Linked DNA regions of Schizosaccharomyces pombe. The gene in region 2 interacts genetically with the main gene of each other region. Each region holds a gene or a part of one and is shown on either strand. Other genes may lie near its edges.

Region 1 (4,535 bases), 1.9 Mb from region 2:
AACGGTACTCGAAAAGTCATTAAATATGTGAAACGATTGATTAGAAGCAGTCGAAGAGCTCTTTCATTCATAGTTATGAAATTCTTTTTTCTTTCGTTGCCCTTGGCGTAATGTTGTCTTCTCCTTTAGGGTTTTCAATTTTATCGTACTACGCACTGGCTCACTGTTTTCAAACTAGTTGAGTGTACTGAGTTATAGAAATCTATACTCGAAAGAAGAGATTGCAATCGATGAGGATTTTCTTTTTCCTGAAAGATAGAGGATTGTGCTTTGATTACTTTTAATTTCTACTTACTAGCCGTTCTCTTTTGATCTGAGGTGATGTTCTCAAAGTCTTGAGAGCACACAAAGGCAAACGTTGCAAATTTCGCTTTTTCTCGAATATCGTGAATCGTTTCGCTCAATCTGTTCAATCAATTACAAAAAATATTTTTGAATAGGTATATTTTTGATTTCGCCTAAGCCTTTACTTTTTGGTTCTTGTTTGATCTCCCAGATATCTGATAACCATAATGGCTTAACGAATTTCATATGCTAATCACTGACCGTTATGAATACAATTTCCTTGGTTTTAAAAGACTTCAAAATCCTCACTACTGTCACTGCCGCTGGCCCTAAAACATGTTTATGACTTAAAAGACACATACATTTTGTATTCTAAGGTCGTCCAACGCAAAATTTCATAAATGCCCTACAGACTTTATAATGTTGCATAGTCATTGTACAGATCGAAATTGGCATACTCATGATTAGTTATGTAGAATTTCTTTATTTCCTCATATCGTCATTGATGACTGTGGTAAATGAAACCACCCAAAACATAAATCTTCTATCCAAACAAAAGAACTCTAAAAGTCTGCAAAGTTGCAGGAAACAATAAGCTAGTTACGTGCCAGCCAAATCTTTATAGGAAACCATAAAACGTGAGCTGGTTTTACTTTTTTTAAAGGTCATAGTTTCTAATCGTGTATTTCGAAAAAATGTGAAGAATAAAGGAAAAGAATCGATGAATTGCGTCTAACTTCTCATCTGGGAAAAGAAGTTGTAAGTAAAAGTACAGGATCGCCAAAACAAAAGGGAACATAAGAGACAATCGAAGTATGACTCCGGCATCCTCAAGTTTGACAGCGCTCAAATTTTTGAATTTTCCTACAAACTGAAGACAAAGCAAGCCATCAGCAGAAACACTAACTAGTGCTTCAGAATCAGGGGATAACTGCATATCAGTTACTGGAAGGCTATGCTTATAAACTTGAGACAATTTCTAGCATGCATATTAGAAGGCAAAATCGCAATAAAAATATTTAAGTAAACACATACCGTTAAGTCTAAAGACATGAAACGAATGCTGCAATCTGCTCCAGCAACTATGATCATTCCATTCTCCTTATCACAGCAAAAGCAGGTGACGCCCTTTGCATTTTTTAAATCTCGGATCATGCCAAATCTCCAAAGTTGATTCTTTGAACTGTAATCAAATCGAACCAATGAAGCAAACCTTTTGGAATCTTTAATATAGTTATAAGCAGCTACTATGGATTGGTTGGGTAAAAACGAAACACCTCGTACTGTGGCTCGCTCTACCGGCATGTAAAGTACTTGCACCAATTCAAAAGTGTTCCAATCATAAATTTCGACGCGATCATCAACTGCAATTGCAAGCTACAAAAGAATGGTAAGGATTTAATAAATAAAATTTAGTAAAGGCTGTGGCTTACCTTGTCTTCAGTAGATGAAACGTCATACACATCTGAACCATGTTTTTCAAACAAAACTTTGTGATCATTTTTGGAGATGATAAAAAAACTTTTATTAGTGCAAGATATACAAATTGCATCGTGTAATGGCTCAAATAAACATAACCTTTGATATTGTTCATCATTGTCAAAATCGGTTAACCTGAGAGCGTTCTTTTCCTCAAATAGTTTATCCTTTCTTCCATATAAACGTAAATGGTCAATTAACTTTCCGTCAATGGTGTTATTAATACCGGCTATTAATTCCTACAATTTAATTTCGTTAGCTATGCAATAAAAAAATATTGCATACATTTTTAAAATAACCCAACGACATAACGGCATCATCCGAATGCTTAAGTTCGATTTCTCCATGTTCTATAAATTTTGTATGACCTTCACCAACTTCAGGTTCATAGTCTTCATATGATAATAACTTCTAAATTCGACAAACTAATTAGCGCCTATAGTCCAATTGTAAAACATAATCTTTTTAGCTAACAATCCGGATACTAAAAAGTTTATAATGCTGTAAAATAGATAGATAATGAAGTAATCCTTCACTTACAGTCACGAATTGACATACCAATTTGTTTTTAACACCAGATTTTGTAGTTCCTCCTCCACCACCAACCGCCATTTGATGGTTATTAATCCAACAAAGAGAATAAGCTGGAAAAGAAAGGTGGAGTTCAGCCATTTTGATCTAATAATTAGAAAACACTTTAAGCTGGATACGAGGAATAGGAATGTATTGAAAAAATAAATCGATATCGGCGACGAATCAAAAAAAAATTCTACTTATTAGTGAGCAAATCAATAAAGTACACTTACAAGAATTCCACTAAAAAAAAACAATGTCTATTTGAATACGGTGGTGTGGGTATGTTTCGAAATCGCTGTGAACCTACTTCGAGACTTAAGCAAATACTGTAAGAATATTAGATCCCCGTATCAGAATCTATCGAATAATATCGACATCACTATCCTCTTTTACGTATTTAGGCGATGTTTAATATATACATAAGTTTTTATCCATTTTTTTATGACAGTAGAGAAAAGATTTAATTAGAGATAACCTAAATCCTTATTGACTTAAAAAAGGATGATACTTACTTGTGGATATTTATTTGCGAAGAATCTTTGAACAAACAGAAACTTATAATAGATTCTTTCTAAATCTCGGAGCATATTCTGGCTCATTTTATATTTATATTTTCCTTTTCAGCTTTTTAGAACTCAATTCCGACCTCAGTTTGGTTGCAACTTTGCTACAGACACTATTTAATATCTCGGTCTCCTGTACATTTTACCAGGTTTACGTTGTATTGTTTATATAGTTTATATAGCAATATTTACTACATGTTCATCATATTACGAAAATAGATTAAGAGAACTGGGGAAAGAGTGAGGAGATGAGAAATTTTCGGATTTATTTATAATTTCCAATTATTATTTTTAAGACGAAATTGCCGCGAGACTACATTGTCCATGAAATTAATGTTTGTGTTTATTCTACTAAAGGGTATGAATGCTCGATCTCGTGCCAAGGTGCCTACAATCTTAATACGCCGCTGCCTGTGTATGATTATAATATTACTTCTGTTTTTTGCACAGAAAGCGTGTTTCATTTCAAAGATTGACTTCCAATTAAATTTAATTAATAATATGTTGTTTCATTTCCTTATTTAACTACCAATTCTTGTTCATTTGCAATTCACTCAAATATGTAACTGAACGTTGTCAGGTAATTTTTTGGCTTTAAATGATATGCCTCAATGGAATATAAAAAAGCATAATCCTATATAACTATTGTTTTTTTCAGCTTCGTTTCAGTGAAATGTTATGCTGATACAAATTGATTGAAACATGAATGCAAGACTTTTTTCAACTCAACAATATTTTATTTATTAGTAAATTTTAGTTTATGTAATAAACTCTTCATTAAATTAATATAACTTTATAGTGCTGCTTTCTTTTTGCACATCGCACATTAATTGCAAAAACTCTCTTCTCCACATCCAGGGTATCTGATGTCCTCGACAAAGTCTCAGCGAACGAGCGATTTGGGTTTTTCATAGCAGAGAAGTATCCAAATTTCAAAAATATTATTATTTTACTGGCTTTATAGAGAAGTATTTAAATTTTTGCATAACCCTCAATTGATAGAGTGCTGTAAATTCTACTTACATTATTCACATGTCTGCCGATAAATTTCGTGATTCCACGCATTACAGAGATTGGATTTTTACGGAAGAAGACCTTTCAAAAACACGTGCTAAAGTAAATGAAAAATTTACGAATATTGTACGTGAGCGAATGCTGGAAGAGTTGTCTTTACAAAACAAGGAAGCATCCTTAGAAGTTTTGCCTCCAACTCTTACCGTTGAAGAAGAACTTGAACTTGTAAATTATTATAGTTTCCAGTTGAACGCACTTTCTTCCGCTCTTTCCTTACCAACTCATATTCGCGTATGTTTAGACATGGTCGGATTTCCTTCAATTACTTGGAAACTGTACTCAATATAAACATTCCGACTTTACTCACAAAATTTTAGTCCACGGCCATTCTTTTTTTTAAACGCTTTTATCTAATTAACTCTGTCATGGAGTATAGTCCAAAAATTATTTCGTATGTTTAAGTCGCCGAGTCCATTAAGCTAACATTGTTTTTCTTACATTAGGTTTACTTCTTTATTTTTAGCTACCAAGTGCAACGATCATTATATCTCTATTGAACAATTCTGTAAAAACATGCCCAAGACGACTCCCGAAGAAGTTCTTGAATACGAATTTAAC
Region 2 (3,785 bases):
AAACAATGAAGCGTCATGCCAATAGAATAGGAGAAGAATTTAGTCAAACTGTTCAATTTATTAAATCTGAAACTACTCTGAAACAAAAAAAAACCAAAATTGACGTTCAAAATGTTTATGGACTTGACAGAAACACAAAGAATTTGGAAAAACGCGATATTCAATTTCTAGAAAACGACAAGTTGGACCTGAATTCTCATGAGAACGAAGGCGAAAAAACTAAAACTGAAACAGTACCTACGCGTAAACAGTTTCCAAAAGTTGGAGAATTTAACTCCGCAATACACGGTCTTTCTTCGGAAAGTGTTTTGAGAACATGTTTTCGTGTAGGAGAAGTCTTAGCAGTATTCAGGATGAAACGAAGAGATGTATGCATTATAGTTGAATTTTTTGGTAAGGTCTATTATGTTTGCTCTCAATATATGTTGGTTTTATTGCATAAAAATGAAATCTAACGTTATAGCAAAAGTGCGCTCTGCAAAAAAAGTCGGCAATGTCATCCTCTACTACTTTGAAGACGCATTTCGTGGACAAAAATCACCAGCGATATTTGCTAAATATTACTCATGTTGCGAAATATCGCCTCTTTTAACTAAACCGGCAACTATGATCAGAGTGGTTGGAATCGTCTCTCATGCCGAAAAGATTTTAAAAGTGATACACATAGCTAGCTCGGATTTAGATGAATTATGGGACACTTACAATATGGTGCTCTACGAAACTTTATAGATTATCATCTATATATGATCATATTCACAAAAGATAAGTAAATATCTCTGAAGAACCAATAATCAAGCTTTAGAATCACAACTGAAAAAAATGGGCTAACGGATAATACACAATACGTTATCAGCATAGGAGCATACTGCAAAGTCAGTAAAGACAAATGCTCCGTAGATGAAAACAATTGACCGCACGAATATCATATAACAAAAAAGACTTGTCATCAAGTTTGTAAATCTGAATTGGGCGAATCTATGTAAGCGCTGAGCAAACAATTAGGGAAATTTGGAACGGGCGTCATTCAAAGTGAAAGGTTTTTAAGAGGATGCAATGGGGTAACTTAGACGTATTGAGCAAGCCACTTGAAGCCTTCGCCATAACCTTGGCGAAGGACCACCGAGCACATGAATACTTCGATAGGTCGGATTCCAGGAACGGGTTTAGACACGCCCTTACCAGTGGTCTGATAAAGTCCAAGGGCCGCCTTGAGTTCATCTTCAGAAATAGCACCAGGGGCATCGATTTTATTGCCAAGAATCAAAAAGGGGACGCGAGCAAGTTCTTCCATGGCCAATAAGGCATCTAGTTCGGCCTTTGATTCAGAAAGGCGTTCAAAGTCACAGCAGTCAACCAAGTAAACAATGCCATTAACCTCGGGGAAATAATCTCTCCACAAGCGGCGAGCTATAAGAAAATTAGTAAAAATACATAAAATCAGATAGAGAATCCAAAATCATAGAAGAAATTGCAAAGAAAAAACAAAGATCATGAGAACAAAACGGCCCACTGATAAACTAGCCAACGACATATGAGACGATATAGAAATTCAAACAACTTTATACAAAAAAGAATTTTAAGCGAAAAAAAATTAATTATTCTAAAGACATTCCAACTCTTACAAAATCTCCATGATTTAGAAAAACAACTCTGTGACTACATACCCTGTTGATGACCTCCCAAATCGAAAGTAGTAAATCGAACGTTGCCAATAGCCAGTTCTTCTGAAGTAGGATGTAAAGTTGGTTGCATTACAGCTAAACGGTCATTCTAAATAATTAGTATAAGGATAATCAAGGAGAGTAGAAGTCAAACATACTTTCAGCATGTGTAGCAAGGTGGTCTTTCCGGCGTTATCTAAACCCAAAAACAGCATCTTGGCATGCTTGTTGACAAGACCAAGCATGGCAAGAGCATCGTAGAACCAGTTAATGATAAACATTGGTGTAAGATGGATGGATTTTCTGAAAACCTGTTATGCTCAGTGTGTTGGTGGTTGGCAAGAGATGACTTACCTCATGCCTAGTTATACTAATTTTCTCTAGGTAACCGAAAATAAGTAGTTAAAGAAAATATTTAATTAATGTACGTATGAAATGAAACTGAATAATTACATATAGTTCAAATTTGGAAGCTTCTCTATGCTTTTTTCTAGTAGTAAGTATGAAGAGAACGATTTTGGCGATTTCTAATTTACATGTTTACGTTTGCTTAAATTAACTATTAATGAATTCGTCTCAATACAATTTCTTTCGGTTTGAAAAGAATAAAGGATGATAGCTTTCAGCTTTTCGTTTAAATAAAATTCGACTAGTAATTTACCATTTCTAAAATTTGTAACTATAAACATGTTATGTATTTGCACTACGCTCAGTTAATAACAGGGCGCAATAGACAAATTGAGAAAAACGGTAAATAAATGTATAAAAGAATTGAATGAATAAAACAATGCACACTTACAACAGTTGGGTTAGAATTACAAAAAAAAAAAATTCACGTAGGCTAACTGTTTTTAATATTAGCTTTTGAGATTAGAAGTAACTTTAATTTCTAAAAGTTTTCTGGATTTCTTTTTTTATAAATCTTACAAATTGTGACATCGGCCTTTCGTAGTTTATAGATATATTATACGAATATATATACATATATTTTTGTTTCTATGTATACGGTGGGTGATACAGGAATTTGTGTTTTATATTTAAAACATATAAATTCAATAATACTCATTTATTCAAAAAAATTTTTTTTTAAGCTAGTTTTTTTCATAATAAGTTGTTAATAACTATCATTTAATTATTACTTAATATTATTCCGGCATACAGAATTAGTAAATATCAGCTGAGAATCTATATCTACAGGATATTTTGCTAGCAAATAAATTAACAAAAATTGCATAATCTTCTCTAAAATTCAAGCATCAATTTTCGGGTTAATTTATGATCTTTTTCATTCTTCATTTCGTTAATTATTTTTGTATCACAACTTTGGAACGTAGTGTAATATGATATTCTTTATCTATACGACACACACCAAAATCCTTCTTCTTTTTGCAAATATAGACAACTTTTCTATTCGATAGCTTTAAAACTTCATAAAATTTTACTTGAAAGAACAACCAGAAGGTACTACTTTCGTTTATTGGAAGGTCCGTTTACAATCGATTGAAAATTATTCCTTGCTGCTATATATTTTCAGACTTTAATTTGTTCCATCAAGCCATCAAACACTCAAGCTATCATTATCTCAGTGAATAATTAAAATCACTATTTCATCTTATTTATAATGGGAATTTTCAGTGAAACAGTTCCAATTACTGCTGTCACCACTTATATCGATCGTTTAACCTCTAGAGATACCGACGATGAGGATTTGTCTGGTATCGTTCAATTATCTGAAGCCGTTAATTTAACTGTTACTGGTCCGCGAGAGGCTTCTCGTACCCTTCGTAAGAAGTTAAAGTACAGTACACCTCATGAACAAGTTCGGGCACTTGTTATTCTCCAGGCTTTAATTGAAAATGCTGGCTCTCATTTTTTACAAAATTTCTCAGACGAAAAATTGGAAGACCGAATGTTGCAATGTGCAACAAATTCTGAATATTCTAAACCCGTTCGTAAGCGTGCTATCCATATGATCAAACTTTGGCACAATGACTATTCTAATGTTCGTGGAATGGAAAGCATGAGTAGTTTAGTATCTCGACTTCCTCAACGACAATCATCTGCTTCGCATTCTGAACAACCCACTATCAATCTTAAAAAGGTTGGTCCAATTTTAGAAAGATT

Evidence for each region.
Region 1: of sar1 (region 2) and spo14, extra expression of one rescues a mutant of the other (dosage rescue), as found in Schizosaccharomyces pombe (one study listed by BioGRID).

Annotation. Positions count from the first base shown.
Region 1 is NC_003423.3:1,889,221-1,893,755, forward strand, and holds spo14 (GDP/GTP exchange factor Spo14), read right to left. Parts: upstream 2,624-4,535; 5' UTR 2,571-2,623; exon of another isoform or gene 2,534-2,570; 5' UTR 2,437-2,533; coding exon 2,323-2,436; intron 2,210-2,322; exon of another isoform or gene 2,176-2,209; coding exon 2,050-2,175; exon of another isoform or gene 2,004-2,049; coding exon 1,719-2,003; exon of another isoform or gene 1,663-1,718; coding exon 1,321-1,662; exon of another isoform or gene 1,265-1,320; coding exon 944-1,264; 3' UTR 752-943; downstream 1-751. Other genes in the region: transcription factor TFIIH complex cyclin Mcs2, read left to right, coding at 3,936-4,208, 4,295-4,368, 4,421-4,535.
Region 2 is NC_003423.3:3,759,888-3,763,672, forward strand, and holds sar1 (ADP-ribosylation factor Sar1), read right to left. Parts: upstream 1,999-3,785; 5' UTR 1,943-1,998; coding exon 1,820-1,942; intron 1,771-1,819; coding exon 1,665-1,770; intron 1,408-1,664; coding exon 1,064-1,407; 3' UTR 730-1,063; downstream 1-729. Other genes in the region: protein mug37, read left to right, coding at 6-393, 464-729; protein lsb5, read left to right, coding at 3,283-3,785. UniProt on the Schizosaccharomyces pombe protein: Small GTPase component of the coat protein complex II (COPII) which promotes the formation of transport vesicles from the endoplasmic reticulum (ER).